Linked DNA regions of Stegostoma tigrinum. The protein of the gene in region 2 purifies or fractionates together with the protein of the main gene of each other region. This does not show direct contact. Links are inferred from orthologs where the notes say so. Each region holds a gene or a part of one and is shown on either strand. Other genes may lie near its edges.

Region 1 (7,963 bases), on a different chromosome or scaffold from region 2:
CAGTAGGATTGACCACTGCCCAGTCCTTGTAGAGGTGAAGACCTGCCTTCACATTGAGAATACCTCCATCATGTTGTGTGGCACTATCACCGTATTAAATGGAACATATTTCAAACAGATCTAGCAACTCATGACTGGCCATCCACGATTGTGTGCCATCAACAACACCAGAATGGTACTCCAGCACAGTCTGCAACCCCATGGTCCAGCATATCCCCCATTGTCAAACCAGGGGACCAAACCTGCTTCAATGAGAGCACAGGAGAACATGCCAGGAGCAGCACCAGGCATACCTAAGCCTGAGGTGTCAAGCTAGACACTGATAAACAATTGCACAACCAATGGATCAGATCTAAGCTCTGCAGTCCTGCCACATCCTTTACAATTAACAGGAGGGGGAGGCTCCACGAATATCTCCATCCTCAATGATGGGGGATCTTCACACATCAGCATGAAAGCAAAAGCTGAAATGTTTGTTATTCTGCTTCAGCCAGCAGTGCCAAGTAGATGATCCATTTCAGCCTCTCCTTGAGGTCTCCAGCATCACAAATTGCAGGCTTTAGCCAATTTGCTTAACTCTACATGATCAAAAGAGCGCTGACAATATTACAGCAACACTGCTGAAGTCTGTAACACCAGAACTAGACGGTCTCTGAGCCAAGCTGTTCCAGTACGGCTGCAACACTGGCATCTACCTCGAAATGTGGAATATTGCCCAGCTATGTCCTGCATACAAAATAAAAGAGCAAAACCCAACCCATGCAATTACTGCTCCATCTGTCGACTTGCAATCATTAACAAAATGATGGAGGGTGTCATCCACAGTGCTATCGAGTAGCACTTGCTTAGCAGTAACCTGCTTAGTGATGCTCAGTTTGTGTTACCAATGACCACTCAGCTCCTGACCTGTTTTCAGTCTGAGTTCAAACATGGACCAAAGAGCCGAATTCCAGAGGTGAGGTGAGAGTGACTGCCCTTGATGTTAAGGCTGCATTTAACTGGGGACGGCATCTAAGAATCAGAGTCCTAGGAAAACAGGAATCAATGGAAATAGGGGGAAAACTCTCAGATGGTTGGAGTCATACCTGGAACATAAGAAGATAGCTGTAGTTGTTGGAGGGCAGTTATCTCAGCTCCAGGACATCTCAGCAGGAGTTCCTCAGGGTAGTGTCCATGGCCCAACCATCCACAGCTGCTTCACCAATGGTCTTCCCTCCTTCGTAAGGTCAGAAGTGGGGATGTTTGCCGATGAGTGCACAATGTTCAGCACCATTCACAACTCCTCAGATACTGCAGCAGTCCATGTTCAAATACAGCAAGACCTGGACAGTAGACAGGCTTGGGCTGTTGAGTGGAAAGAAACATTTGGCCCAGACAAGTACCAGGCAATATCCAATCCCAATAAGAGAGAATCCAATCATCTCCCCTTTGACCTTCAATGACATTACCATCACCATCGATATCCCGGGAGCCACCACTGACCAGAAACTGAACTGAACTCACCCTATAGATACTGTGGCCATAAGATCAGGTCAGGGGTTTGGGATTCTGTGGTGGGTGTCTCACTGCTCTGTCTCTTTGGAGATCATAAGGCATTGTACAATAAAAGACAGAAGAAGTGGTAGTGGTTATAACGTAGATAAGACATAGATTCAGTAGGGTTCTTGTTTGTACTCAGTAAGTTGCTGATTTTAGGTGGTTCAAATCACCCCCAGGTCATTAGGTTCTGACACTGGTCTTACTTAGGGAATGTGGAAGGAAGGAGGCATTAGACAGGTGTTTCAGGTCAAAAGAATCTCTGTGTTTATTTAAATATAAAAAAGGTAATTATGCTACAAGAAATATAGGTAAAAGCACTGAACAGTGAAATTAACACTCCCAAGTATACAGAGGACACTAATTAAATACACTATCAAATTAAACACAGACTAAACATTGTTAGAACCTAAACAGCAGTTTTAATCACAGAAATTTTAATCAGGCTTCCTACCCTTGGAGTCCCACACACTGCCACCACCTGCCTTCCCCTCCCTGCTAGCTAGATTGGAAACTTTGGGGTCTCTGGAGTTTAAGTTTGCCACGAAGGAAAATGCAGTTTTGAAGTACAGCTGGCTGTGGAGGTTCTTATTGTCAGTTCCCTTGGTTCAGAACAGGCTCATGTCCGGACGTTCTGCGTTGTCAAAACCATCAGATTTGCATAGAATTGGTTTTTGGTATCTAAGTGCCTGGTTCACATTGATTGGCTAAATTCAAAACTTGTCTTGGTAAAAGGTGCTGCCTGGCCTGCTAACTGTACGGCCTTATGATACAAATGTTTCAATTCGGGTGCTTTCTGTGTATGCGCAAACTTTCAAGCCGCTGCTCACAGGTATCCATTTTAAATCTCTCAGTGCAGCAAAAGCACATAATCTTTTAAAGGGACCACACAATGCTTCCTGTGCCCCCTCCAGCATTTTACAAACACCAAATTCTAACTTCCTACCTCCCAATCTACAAGTGCTCTACCCAACTTCGCAACACTAAGGAACTACTACGTATGCATAATTTCTTCAGTATAAATTAGACCCACAGAGTCTGCGGCAGCTTCAGTTTGCCCAGAATACTGACAGAGCTGAAATAGTGTATAAGGAGAATGCGGGATCTGTTTGACTCATTCAAGTGGGAGCCCATTGCTCTAGCAGAAGATTTGACCTTAGTTGAAGTTTGGAACTGATGTATGTGAGTTACATGGCTAAGCCCTTCTCATGGCTAGAACAAAGAACAAAGAAAATTACAGCACAGGAATAGGCCATTCGGCCCTCCAAACCTGCACCGATCCACATCCTCTATCTAAACCTGTCACCTATTTTCCAAGATAGTAGGAATCGCAGATGCTGGAGAATCTGAGATAACAAGGTGCAGAGCTGGATGAACACAGCAGGCCAAGCAGCATCAGAGGAGCAGGAGGATCTGATGCTACTTGGCCTGCTGTGTTCATCCAGCTCTACACCTTGTTATCTTACCTATTTTCCAAGGATCTGTATCCCTCTGCTCCCTGCCCATTCATGTATCTGTCTAGATACATCTTAAATGAAGCTATCATGCCCGCCTCTACCACCTCCGCTGGCAATGTATTCCAGGCACCCAACACCCTCTGCGTAAAGAACTTGCCACACATATCTCCCTTAAACTTTTCCTCTCACACCTTGAAATCGTGACCCTCCAGTAATTGAGTCCCCCACTCTGGGAAAAATCTTCTTGCTATCCACCCTGTATGTACCTCTCCTGATTTTGTAGACCTCACTCAGGTCCCCCCTCAAACTCTGTCTTGCATGTAAATAATCCGAATCTACTCAACCTCTCTTCATAGCTAGTGCCCTCCATAGCAGGCAACATCCTGGTGAACCTCCTCTGCACCGTCTCCAAAGCATCCACATCCTTTTGGTAATGTGGCGACCAGAACTGTACGCAATATTCCAAATGTGGTCAAACCAAAGTCCTACACAACTGTAACATGACCTGTCAATTCTTGTACTCAATACCCTGTCCGATGAATGAAAGCATGCCGTCTGCCTTCTTGACCACTCTATTCACCTGTTTCGCCACCTTCAAGGTACAATGGCCCTGGACACCCAGATCTCTCTGTTCATCAATTTTCCCCAGGGCTTTTCCATTTACTGTGTAGTTCGCTCAAACTATGGCAACTATTAGACTAAGACAACACTTTCTTGATTGGGCATGGTATCATTTCAATTGCTCCATGCAGCATCCTATGAAAAATCAAACTAATTCTTGTTGTAGCCTATTAGATTTAGATTTAGCCTATCAGACATCACAAAATCAGATAATAGTCTACAGTTCACTCCAGAAGAATGGATGAAGTGTGGGCATATTAGGCTTTCTAGCTGTGATACATTTGACACAAAAGAGAGATTGAAGGGAAAAGTCCTGCGGAGACAAAGGACTGTGCTTTAAAGACAAGAAAATGTGAGGCTGGTTGAACACAGCAGGCCAAGCAGCATCTCAGGAGCACAAAAGCTGACGTTTCGGGCCTAGACCCTTCATCAGAGAGGGGGATGGGGAGAGGGAACTGGAATAAATAGGGAGAGAGGGGGAGGCGGACCAAAGATGGAGAGTAAAGAAGATAGGTGGAGAGAGTATAGGTGGGGAGGTAGGGAGGGGATAGGTCAGTCCAGGGAAGACGGACAGGTCAAGGAGGTGGGATGAGGTTAGTAGGTAGATGGGGGTGTGGCTTGGGGTGGGAGGAAGGGATGGGTGAGAGGAAGAACCGGTTAGGGAGGCAGAGACAGGTTGGACTGGTATTGGGATGCAGTGGGTGGGGGGGAAGAGCTGGGCTGGTTGTGTGGTGCAGTGGGGGGAGGGGACGAACTGGGCTGGTTGAGGGATGCAGTAGGGGAAGGGGAGATTTTGAAACTGGTGAAGTCCACATTGATACCATTAGGCTGCAGGGTTCCCAGGCAGAATATGAGTTGCTGTTCCTGCAACCTTCGGGTGGCATCATTGTGGCAGTGCAGGAGGCCCATGATGGACATGTCATCTAAAGAATGGGAGGGGGAGTGGAAATGGTTTGCGACTGGGAGGTGCAGTTGTTTGTTGCGAACTGAGCGGAGGTGTTCTGCAAAGCGGTCTCCAAGCCTCCGCTTGGTTTCCCCAATGCAGAGAAGCCACACCGGGTACAGTGGATGCAGTATACCACATTGGCAGATGTGCAGGTGAACCTCTGCTTGATGTGGATTCCACATCTGCAGTTCCCATTATCACTGTGCTTTAAAGATTGCTTTAGGCCAGATGTACCAACCTCTCAGAGAAACTGGAGATGGAGCAGGTACATTTCGCCAGGCCCCCGGGAGATGGCGCTCTGTCACCAGGCTCGAATGCGCTGGCGCGTATTCAGCGCAGTGACTGATGGGAGTTCAAGATGGCGACGCCCATCTGATTCTTCAAATCGGAGTTTAAGTGAATTTTGCTTTTGGCGCGGATTCGGAGCAAAAACCAAATCCCCGGATTTTGGAGGCGGATGGTCGCAGAGAAACCGTCATTAGAAGTTTCACTCGTTATTTTAACAGGTCGGTTCGGTCGTCTTTTATTAATAATAATGACCTGAAATATTCTCATCATTCCCCGATTTCCTTCTTTACCCCAGTGACCCCCTTCACCCGGTTGTACCCCCCCGCCCCACACCCTCCCACGCCCCACCCTACGCCAAATATCCCACCCCACCCCACCCCAACCCAATGTCTCTTCCTCCATTGCTCCCACCTCACCTGACTCCCCCTTTGCCCCACACTCTCCCCATCTCCTGCTCCACTCCCATATCTCCTCCACAACCTGAAATCTCTCACTTCTCGTTATCTCCTTTGGCTCCCCTTCTTCTGCATCAAGAGTTGAGTTATTTTGTTCTGAAGAAGTGTCAATGGACTCAATGTTAGTTCTGTTTCTCTGCTCACAGATCTTGCCAGACTTGCTGAGTTTCTCCTGCACTTAGTGTTTGTTTCAGATCTCCAGCGACTTCAGTTCTTTGATTTATTTTATTTGAGTTACATTGCTGTCTGCACAGCACTTGCTTTGAATTTTAGTTTTTCTTAAGTCGTTGCTTTTCTTCAAGCAGAAATAATGCTGATATCTGGAACCCATGTCGAACGTCTGTGAAGAGAGGGTAACAATGATTGCAGCAGGGGAAATGCAGGAGTTTGTTCCGTTCGGCCGTGACCACTGCAGGCGCCACCCTAATGCCACAAATCTTCAGCTTCGGCAGCTGCAGCCTGCTTCAGAACTGTGGTCCTCTGATGGTGACGCAGGATTGGTGGGATCACTGAGAGAAGTTACAATCCATGAGAAACAGAAGGTGCAGGTTTGAAACTCTCATCTGAAATTATCAGTAACCTCTAAAATGAAGAGCTGACATGTTCTGCAGTAGGTTGCCAAAGACTTTATAATAAAGATTTTGAATTTTCCAAGTTACAGTTGAACTTGTACACATGGATTTTGGGGAATCATCAAAAGGATATTGGGTGGGAAAATGACTAGTAATAGAAATAAATTCTACTTATATTGCCTCTTTCACAACTTCAGTCCCCTGCATCATTGTACACCCAATGTCATCTTGCTCTATAGGAATTATTGCATCCAGTGTACAAACAAGATTTCATAAACATGGTCAGGTAATCGTAGAAGTTCGTAGAATCCCTACAGTGTTGAAACAGGCCCTTCGGCCCAACAAGTCCACACCGACCCTCGGGTCACCCGTCCAAATCCATCCCTCTATAACCCACCTAATCTGCACATCCCTGAACACTATGGGCATTTAGCATAGCCAATCCATCTAGCCTGCAAATCTTTGGACTGTGGGAGGAAACCGGAGCACCCGGAGGAAACCCACGCAGACACTGGGAGAATGTGCAAACTCCACACAGACGGTTACCCGAGGCTGGAATTGAACCCGGGTCCCTGGTGCTGTGAGGCAGCACTGCTAACCACCGTGTCACCCTTAAGAATGGCTGGTTTAGCAACATTGGCTGAGGGATAAATGTTGGCCAGGAAATTCGTGAGAACTGTCCTGCTCCTCTCAGAAGAGTCACAGGGTCTTTTGTGTGCGCACCTGAGAGAGTGCTTTGGCTTAACAGCTCATCGGACCACTCAGACCCTGGATTCCAGCATTTCCTCAGTGCTGTGCTGAAGTGCCATCAACAATTTGTGCACACCTTGCTGGAGTGGACTTGAATTCTCAACCTTCTGACTCAGAATGTGCCAGTACTATTCCACGGCTGAAGTGCATCTGAGGCTTCAGTGCCCCAAGAATAATAGATAATAACACAAAAATAGGTGGAAAGGCAAGTTTCAGGAGACACTCAGACATTTTACAAAAAGATAGTTATACATGAAGTGGACAAGGAAATTGTAATACTTGTGCACACAATGCACAAAGCTAGCACCAGGTGCAGCGGGGTAATCAGGAAGGGAAATGGAATGTTGGCCCTTATTTCAAAAGGATTGGGATATGAGAGTAGGGAAGTCTTTTTTGCAGCTGAACAAGGTGCTGATGAGACCCCAACTGGAGTACTGAGAGCAGTTTTGGTTCCCTTATTTAAGAGATACCATTTCATTGGAGGAATTTGCGAAGGTTCACAGGGATGACCCCCAGCACAGAGGAATTGTCTTATTAGCAAAGATCAAACAGGTTGGGACTCTACTCACTGGAGTTTAGAAAAATGAGAGAAGATCACGTTGAAATCAATATGAATTTTTCAGCGCTTGGCAGGGTAAATGCTGAGAGGGTGTTTCCTCTCATTGGAGAGCCTCAGACCAGTAGGCATAGTCGACTTAAGACTGAGCTGAGGAGGAATTTCTTCTCTGAGAGGGTTGAGTGTCTTTGGAGTGCCACAGAGAGCTGTGAGGGCAGAGTCTTTGTGCATATTTAAGGCTGAGATAGGTTGTTAATTAGTTGGGCAATCCAGGGTTACAGGAAAATGGAAGTGAGGCATGTTGAATCAGCCACAATTCTGTTGAATGGCATAGCAGATTTGAGGGGCTGAATGGCCTACTTCTGAGGGGAGAATATAAAAGAAGTTCAGAATTTTGAAAACATATCCAAGAGTTGACCACATTTTGCCCTGATACATTTAACCTCGGGTGGGTGACTGTCTGTCTGGAGTTTGCACGTTCTCCCTGTGTCTGTTTGGGTTCCTTTGGGTGCTCCAGTTTTGCCCCACAGTCCAAAGATGTGCTGGTTTAAGTGGATTTGCCATGCTAAACTGCCCTGTACTGCCCAGGGGTGCGTAGCCGAAGTGGATTAGCCATGGGAAATGCAGGGTTAGGGTGGAGGGTGGGTTGTGGTAGGATGCTCTTTGGAGGGTTGCTGTGAGCTTGATGGGCTGAGTGGCCTTCATCCATGCTGTATGGATTCCATGATTCTTCTTGCTGCTGCACAGTGCAAGTGGCAACAGGCCAAATGTCTCACCTTGGC
Region 2 (7,064 bases):
CTTGCTGTATACAGATTAGCCATTATGCTTCATACTTTGCGACTGAGGATTGCTTAACTGGCTTAAAGTGCATTGGGATACCATGAGGTCATGAAAAGAACCATATAAATGAAAAGATTTATATGTGTGTCTCTTTATGTTTCTTTTCACCAACAATACACAATATAAATTTGAGGAACAGCACCTCATCTTTTTACTGTATAAAAAGCAGCCTTCTGACTATCTCACAATGAGTTTAACAATTTTAACAACTGCTTCAAGTTTGTCTGAGACAGCAGGTGTGATAATGGAGGATGCCTGCCTCAGCACCACCGCCACTGGAGGAACTGCGGACTAGTATTTGTATTGGAAGGATGTACAGATGCATTTCAAGCAGGATTCACTCCTGACATTTATCTCTGCCTTTTCTTTCCACCTGGGCCATAAACTCCTTCTTATGCCAGATTTACCATGTATCCCTCCTCCTCTCTTACCCTTTACCCATTAACACTGATCTTTTGTCTGTTCAACAGTCTCACTCTCAGTTTGTTTTACCTTGTCATTTCCATCAATTTTGCCATTTAATCACTCTACTCACTCTCCCTTTGCCTCCTTTCTTGGTCACCTGCAACATCATTTCCCCAACAACCAGCAAATTACATTATAGAGAATTGATAACAAAAAGTCCCAAGGTATTCCACAGGATTATAGTGCCAAGTCACGTAGGATCAGATGACCAATAGTGAGGACAAAAGGAGTCATTTTAAGGAGTTAACAAGAGCAGGGTAGAGAGATGAGGTAGCACGAGCACTGCTGCCTCACAGCACCAGGGACCTGGGTTCAATTCCAGGCTCGGGTGACTGTCTATGTGGGGCTTGCACATTGTCCCTGTGTTTGCATGGGTTTCCTCTGGGTGCTCCGGTTTCGTTGCACAGTCTAAAGGTGTGCAAGTGAGGTGGATTGGCGATGCTAAAATTGCCCATAGTGTTTAGGGAGGTGTCGATTAGGTGAGTTAAAGGGGATGGGTCTGGGTGGGATGCTCCGAGGTTCGATATGGACTTGTTGGACCGAAGGGCCTGTTTCCACACTGTAGGGATTCTATGAAGTAGGGAGAGTATTCTGCAGCTTGCAGCCTCACAAGTGAATGCACAACCTCCTAAGGTACAGTAATTGAAACTGTATTAAAACTCAGAATTATATGGCCAGAATTAGAAGAGCACAGATACCTCAGAATTTTGTTGGCCTGGTGGAAATTAAGGAACTAGGGAGACAGGAGGTCATGTAAGAATTTGAAAATAAAGAATTAAGCCTTGCTTGATCAGGAACCAATGCGATTCATAAGGAATTGGAGGCTTTTGCAAGACAAAAAGTTTGTAATAACATCAAGTTTACAAAGGGTAGAATGTGGGATATCAGCCAGTACTGCATTGAAACACTCAAGTCTAGAGGTAACAAAGACATGAATGAGGATTTTAGTAGCAAAGCAGTTGATGCAGGGACAAAGTTGGGTGATATTACGCTCTTAATTACACCACAAGCATTAAATCATCAGCTAATTTAAAATATTTCCAACATCTTCCAGTTGCAATAAAAGACGGTCAACCCAAATAGTAATGCTGTTTTTACCTCCACAGATACTGACTGAACTGTTGACGATTTCCAGTTTTTCAAAAAAAGTCAGATTTCCATTGTTGACAAGTCATGTTTTATTTCTCCCTCTTTTTCTATCCAACAAAATGGTATAACTATTTGCCTAAAAAGTAAATGCTTATCAATAACACTGCCCTATTTCATTATTTTATCACAGTTTTGTCTAGCTATCATGTCCATTTCTGTGAAGTAAACAAATCTTTGTTTTCCACTTTGCCGATTAGTTTATAATCAATTATTACGAGATTTAGTTGGCCACAAGGGAAATTTCAGAATTGCAATTGAGGCTTATAAATGTGTTCTGTTAAAATACAGCAATTTTAAAAAGTATTACAATAATTCAAGAAATTTAGTTAACCTTATTTGCTTAATCTGGTATATGTCGGTGTGAAGCCACATTACATTGCTCTATCGAATGAGATGATGTTCGACGTGCACTAAATCTCTTTTCCCTTTCGTTGTATAAATAATGCACGGGGCATGAATTAAGTTTAAAATATATTGCTTGTCATTATCAACGTGCACTTTATTTCCAGCGTACGATAAATAAATATTGCTGGACAAATCAAATATTTCTTCACCGGATTTCTGAAATTGAAGGCTAATTATTACTATTTTTGAATAAGTATATTTCACACCCTGCCTGAAATGATCCGAAAAGGCGGCTGAAAATAATTCTAGTTAAAGCAAAGACTAAACAGGTCATTAAATCACTGCAGTTTAAATGGCTTCAATCTTGCCATTCCTGTGAATGTGATCATGATAAATCAATTAACAGAATAGATCATGATATTCAGATTTACCTGAGCGGGGAATGTCACGTCCATTCATTTTTATTGACTAATAAATCCAAACACTAGGTTTTATTTCTTACCAAAATGGCGGAGCTGACAGCGAGCCAGAGAACAGAAGCCACAGCAAAATTCAGTGGGATACACTTAGATACATATGAACACCCTGAATTGAGATACTAGAGGTGGATCCACCGCCTCTGAGCCCCCGCTTGTCTTTCCCTAATGTACGCCTTTAATTCTAGGCAGAGATACAGTTAACTAGAAAGTTGCAATGAAAAAGGTATCAAATTCGCAAATTGCTACCGCACACACTGCGCGGCGCTTCTGAAGCGAATGTGTGCGGAGTTCCCATCGATTTCCTGACTCCCTCACGTAAATATACATGATATTTAGTTAAAAACTGACACCCGCGGTAAAAACAGAATGCAACTGAGAGGCAATGAATTAATTTGGCAGGAATATACCGAAATAGATGTTAACTAAAGGGTGACGCTATTTGCCCTCTTGGGATCTTGTCTTTTTTTGCCCCACTGAAGTCATTTACGATATTTTACTAATAGTGAAATAATTGGTTTTCTTACCAATACAATATTCACGCGTCTTAGCTGCGGGCTGAGGGATGAGATTGCGCATGTGCAATGCTCTCAGTACCTGTTACCCTCTTTCTGCAGATCCTCCAGTTTTTTGCATAATTTCTGGTACACTTAAGGGTTTCATCTTCATTCACCAACAGGGTTTTTTTTTAACTGTTTGTTTCCTTCTAATACTTTTTTTGATACTTCAGTCTATTTCTTAGAAGCATTAGAATTTTTCCAGTTCTCCCCTCTCCCCCCACCCATGCAGCATGGGCAGGAAATGTGGGAATATAGGGCAAAACATTTTTAAATTCAGAATCTCGATGTCAAGAACAATACTTTTGATTTCCTGCTTAAGGTTCAAATTGCAAGTTACAAATTTCACTAGTAGCTAGTGACTGACCTATTTCCATCACTTGCATCACATTCATGGTCTATTTCATCTCAATTCCACAGCTTCCCATTTTGCTATCTTTCCCCAAGGAACTAGGCAGCACCAAATCCTGATGTGAAAGTCAGAAAAATGATCTAGCAACAGTAAGTCACAGCTTGCTTTTCTCTGAGCCTTAATCAAACTCTGCTTTCACCATAATGTTCCTAAATACTCCAATGGGTGCCATTCTCTTCCCTTCATCCAAGCCAGTCAGGCATCAGCAAGCCACCAAACTCTGCATACTATGATGCTTGTATGCTCTTAGATCAACTTCTGACCTTCAAAACTTCAGTCAGGAGGTCAGACACACGACTTAAATGCTTCTCCCTGGTCACTCAGGTGATACTGCTGCAGTAGGTCAAGGGACATGTCTAAATCTAGTGCAGTGTTAGGTTAGTCCTGCAGGTCATGAACAACTAGTACATCAATCCTTTAATTCCTGTAAATCAATGTCTCCTACGATTAAACAAAAGGGGAGACTGAGTATGATGATAGTGAATGAAAGAGAAATTAGTGGCAGTGTAGGAGCAAAAGAGATAGTGGGGTGTCCCCAGTGAATATATGGGAAACATGGACAGCTGGAATAGTAGATACTGACAGAGCCCTTGATTGGCCATGCAATAATGAACACCGTAGTCCCTGAAATTTGGCGAGATGTGTGCAGTGGCAGAATTATAGCAAATGGTAGCCTTGTGAGCATAAGATGGCAAACAGAAGATGGTAGCAATTACTCTTATGGAGCACAGATCATTAACGTTTGTTCTGCAATGCTGTGCATTGTTTCACTTGGGCTATTGCAGCAAGTGCTGACTGCTACTTCTGTTCAGGCTGGCTGACTCTGGTGATGTAGGGTCTTTTAGAGCCAAAAACAAAAACTGCCTCCCTTTCCACCACTTCACCTCCAGATCCTCGACAGTGAACTAAGGAAAAGCAAACTTTTCAATCTGGACCACTTCCTCTGGGATTACAGTACAGGACCACAGTGTCACGATATACAACATCTGAAGTCTGGGTAGTAAATGAACACTTTCACTTCTTCCACCACAAGATGGCCACTGAAGAAACCACTTACATAATACAAAAAAAATGCATGAGAAAAGTCATCGTCCTTTATTACAGGCTGGAGTAACATGAGTCACATTCTTAAAAAAAAGCTAAAATCTGAGAAACTTCAGTCCATTGTTTTTTTTAAAGCCTTCAGCATCCACGTTTACAGTCCTTGCCTACAATTTTCTAATATGTGCAGGACACGGTTGACTTGTATTTTTCTGCCAAAGTGAACACTCCACCCAGATGCTAAACAACCAAATGCAATGAGAAGCTTCTGCAGGTTTTGCCGTCTGCTTGAAACTGCAAACATTCTTAGAAGTAAAATATCTTAGCAATTTCAAATCTATAATTTAATGACTGCAAAAAGAATAAAATGTTGTGTAATTATTATTGCTTTCTTTTGAACAGGTATTTTCCTTTGTAACTCAAAAGACATGGACGCATTTTAACAAGATGTAAAACATCATTAAATGCACACAGCTGTCAGCTGTCAACCTAACATGCAAGTTAGATTAGGTTTGGTTCCTGGAGTCTATCTCTAGAAAGACATGTGTTCTTCTCTTTCCACGAAGTTAAACTGCATTTTTTATAAAAAGAAAACTATCACACCATACACAAATTTTCACCTGTTTGAACTAATTGTTATTTAGCAAAAGTTGATATTTCAATGAACGTCTACACTTTTCAATAACTTCCAACCTTTGCGGAACAGCCAGAAAACCTTGTCTACTTGGATCATGAATAAATTCTTATTGTTTGAATTCTTTGAAGCATTCTGACCACACATCCGTTCTTGCAAGTCATTTTAGGACTAACTTTTGAATTTAAATTAGTACTTCCGATTTAGAAAAATTCCACATGACAATTGCAACTTAATATTACGAGCACAAAATAGACTCCATTAATTATCAAGAAAAAGTCATTATTTTAGCCATTTCATCAGAGCCAAATATCAGAGATCCCTCCTTGAGAGCAATAAAGGGTCAACATAGGTGGAATTTGATGTGGGCATCAGAGTGGACAGAGATGAGCTACAGCAAACATGTGAGGATGGCATAAGACAAACAGGTATGACATGACAGCAGATCTCCTGGCAGTAGCTACAAGCAGCAGCATTTAGAAAGTTTAGTGCAGTTTCAGTTTGAGAGCTTATTATAGTTGTACAGAGGGTACAGTCAGAAAAACTTTATTGTATCTGACTATCTACAACCTAACAAATACACTCAAAAAGCCTGGAGCAGATTGTTAATTTTTCTTCTTTACAAAAACTGACATCTTCCCTGTATTTTTCAATTTTTCTCACATGCTTAGGTAACTATTCCAAATACAAGTCTGCCACAAAGATCCACTTGCAGTTCCCAGTTGGTGCTGATAGCTAATCCAAATAGGGGGGAAAAAAAAATAATCATTTAGGAGCAAATCATATTCAATCTTGAACAAAAAAAAACATTTTCATGCATGTGTCCTTTTAGTATACGTTTTACCATCGAAATTAACTTCTTTCTAAGCCAGTGAAGGCAGCTGTCTACCTTGTTTATCACACATTTATAATGCACCCACAGGAAATGTGACTTCACCCAGGCAGCTGTGTAAATCCAAACATATTCACTGCTTACAAAAAGAAAGCAACATCTCACAATTCACACTTTGCAAATGCTTTGAATGACCATCCCAAAATCAAACAATTTCTCAATACCGTATCGATAAGAGCCAAATGCAGGAAAAGTGAGATTAAAATAGTTAGGTGGTAAGTTTTGGCTCACACAGACCTGATGGGCCAAAGGATCTTGTTCTGTGCTGTAGACCTCTGACTCCTCCAGCAATATGCCAAATGGAAGAGGGGTTTCCAGCATTAAGCCAAAAAATCTTGTTCAGTTACCCACAAAATTACCCTGCTACTTAGAATCAAAAGCTGGGTATCCTGCAGTAAGTGGCTGCCCAAAATTGTTGTACTATTAATGAGGCATTGGTCAAAATATGAAGTACACTGACCATTTGTTCAGATGAATACAACTGCAAACTGCCCCAAAAGACGCAGTTTAATCAGTGCTTCATGCACTCACCTATACACCCATTACTGACATTTGGCTAGTGTGCACGCCTTCACTGCAGCAATTTGGAAAACTTTTTCTTAAAGAATACTACATAAATATGCCATCACCCTACGAGAGATAGCCAAAAGCTCCTAAGATTCACCCCATCCAGACTTGGGCATATGACTGTCCCTTCCTTCTCAAAGGATCAACATTCTTGAACTCCTAACATAGCAGTAATATAGCTGCTTCTTTAGAGTTCAGTACTTCGACAGGGGCTTCAACTTTCTCAGGAAATGGAGGTACAGACAATATAAAACATTAACATTACCAGTAAAACCCAAATCCCAAGAATAAAATGGAAAAAACAAACTTAATTTTTGCAGAATCTTAAACAACTGAATTGTTTTTTGCTGTACACAGCAGCACATTGCTAGGTTGGAAATTGATGCTGCTAAAAACTTTTAAAATACAAAAATTCAAACCAGAGTTTTCCAAATTTTAGTACAAAACAAGGAGGCACAAATTTCTCTTAAAAACACAAGTTTTC

What was found. The genes of interacting proteins can lie anywhere in the genome.
Region 1: the proteins of l3mbtl1 (region 2) and anapc1 purify together in Homo sapiens (affinity purification with mass spectrometry; 4 studies listed by BioGRID and IntAct, counting the BioPlex papers as one, with this or other methods). This does not show direct contact. The link is inferred for Stegostoma tigrinum from reciprocal best matches to the Homo sapiens genes L3MBTL1 and ANAPC1.

The regions. Positions count from the first base shown.
Region 1 is NC_081357.1:20,344,067-20,352,029, forward strand, and holds the start of anapc1 (anaphase-promoting complex subunit 1), read left to right. Parts: upstream 1-4,912; 5' UTR 4,913-5,066; intron 5,067-5,608; 5' UTR 5,609-5,632; coding exon 5,633-5,851; intron 5,852-7,963. UniProt on the Homo sapiens protein: Component of the anaphase promoting complex/cyclosome (APC/C), a cell cycle-regulated E3 ubiquitin ligase that controls progression through mitosis and the G1 phase of the cell cycle.
Region 2 is NC_081372.1:22,904,520-22,911,583, reverse strand, and holds the start of l3mbtl1 (lethal(3)malignant brain tumor-like protein 1), read right to left. Parts: upstream 3,078-7,064; 5' UTR 3,005-3,077; intron 2,750-3,004; exon of another isoform or gene 2,504-2,749; intron 2,497-2,503; exon of another isoform or gene 2,433-2,496; intron 1-2,432. UniProt on the Homo sapiens protein: Polycomb group (PcG) protein that specifically recognizes and binds mono- and dimethyllysine residues on target proteins, thereby acting as a 'reader' of a network of post-translational modifications.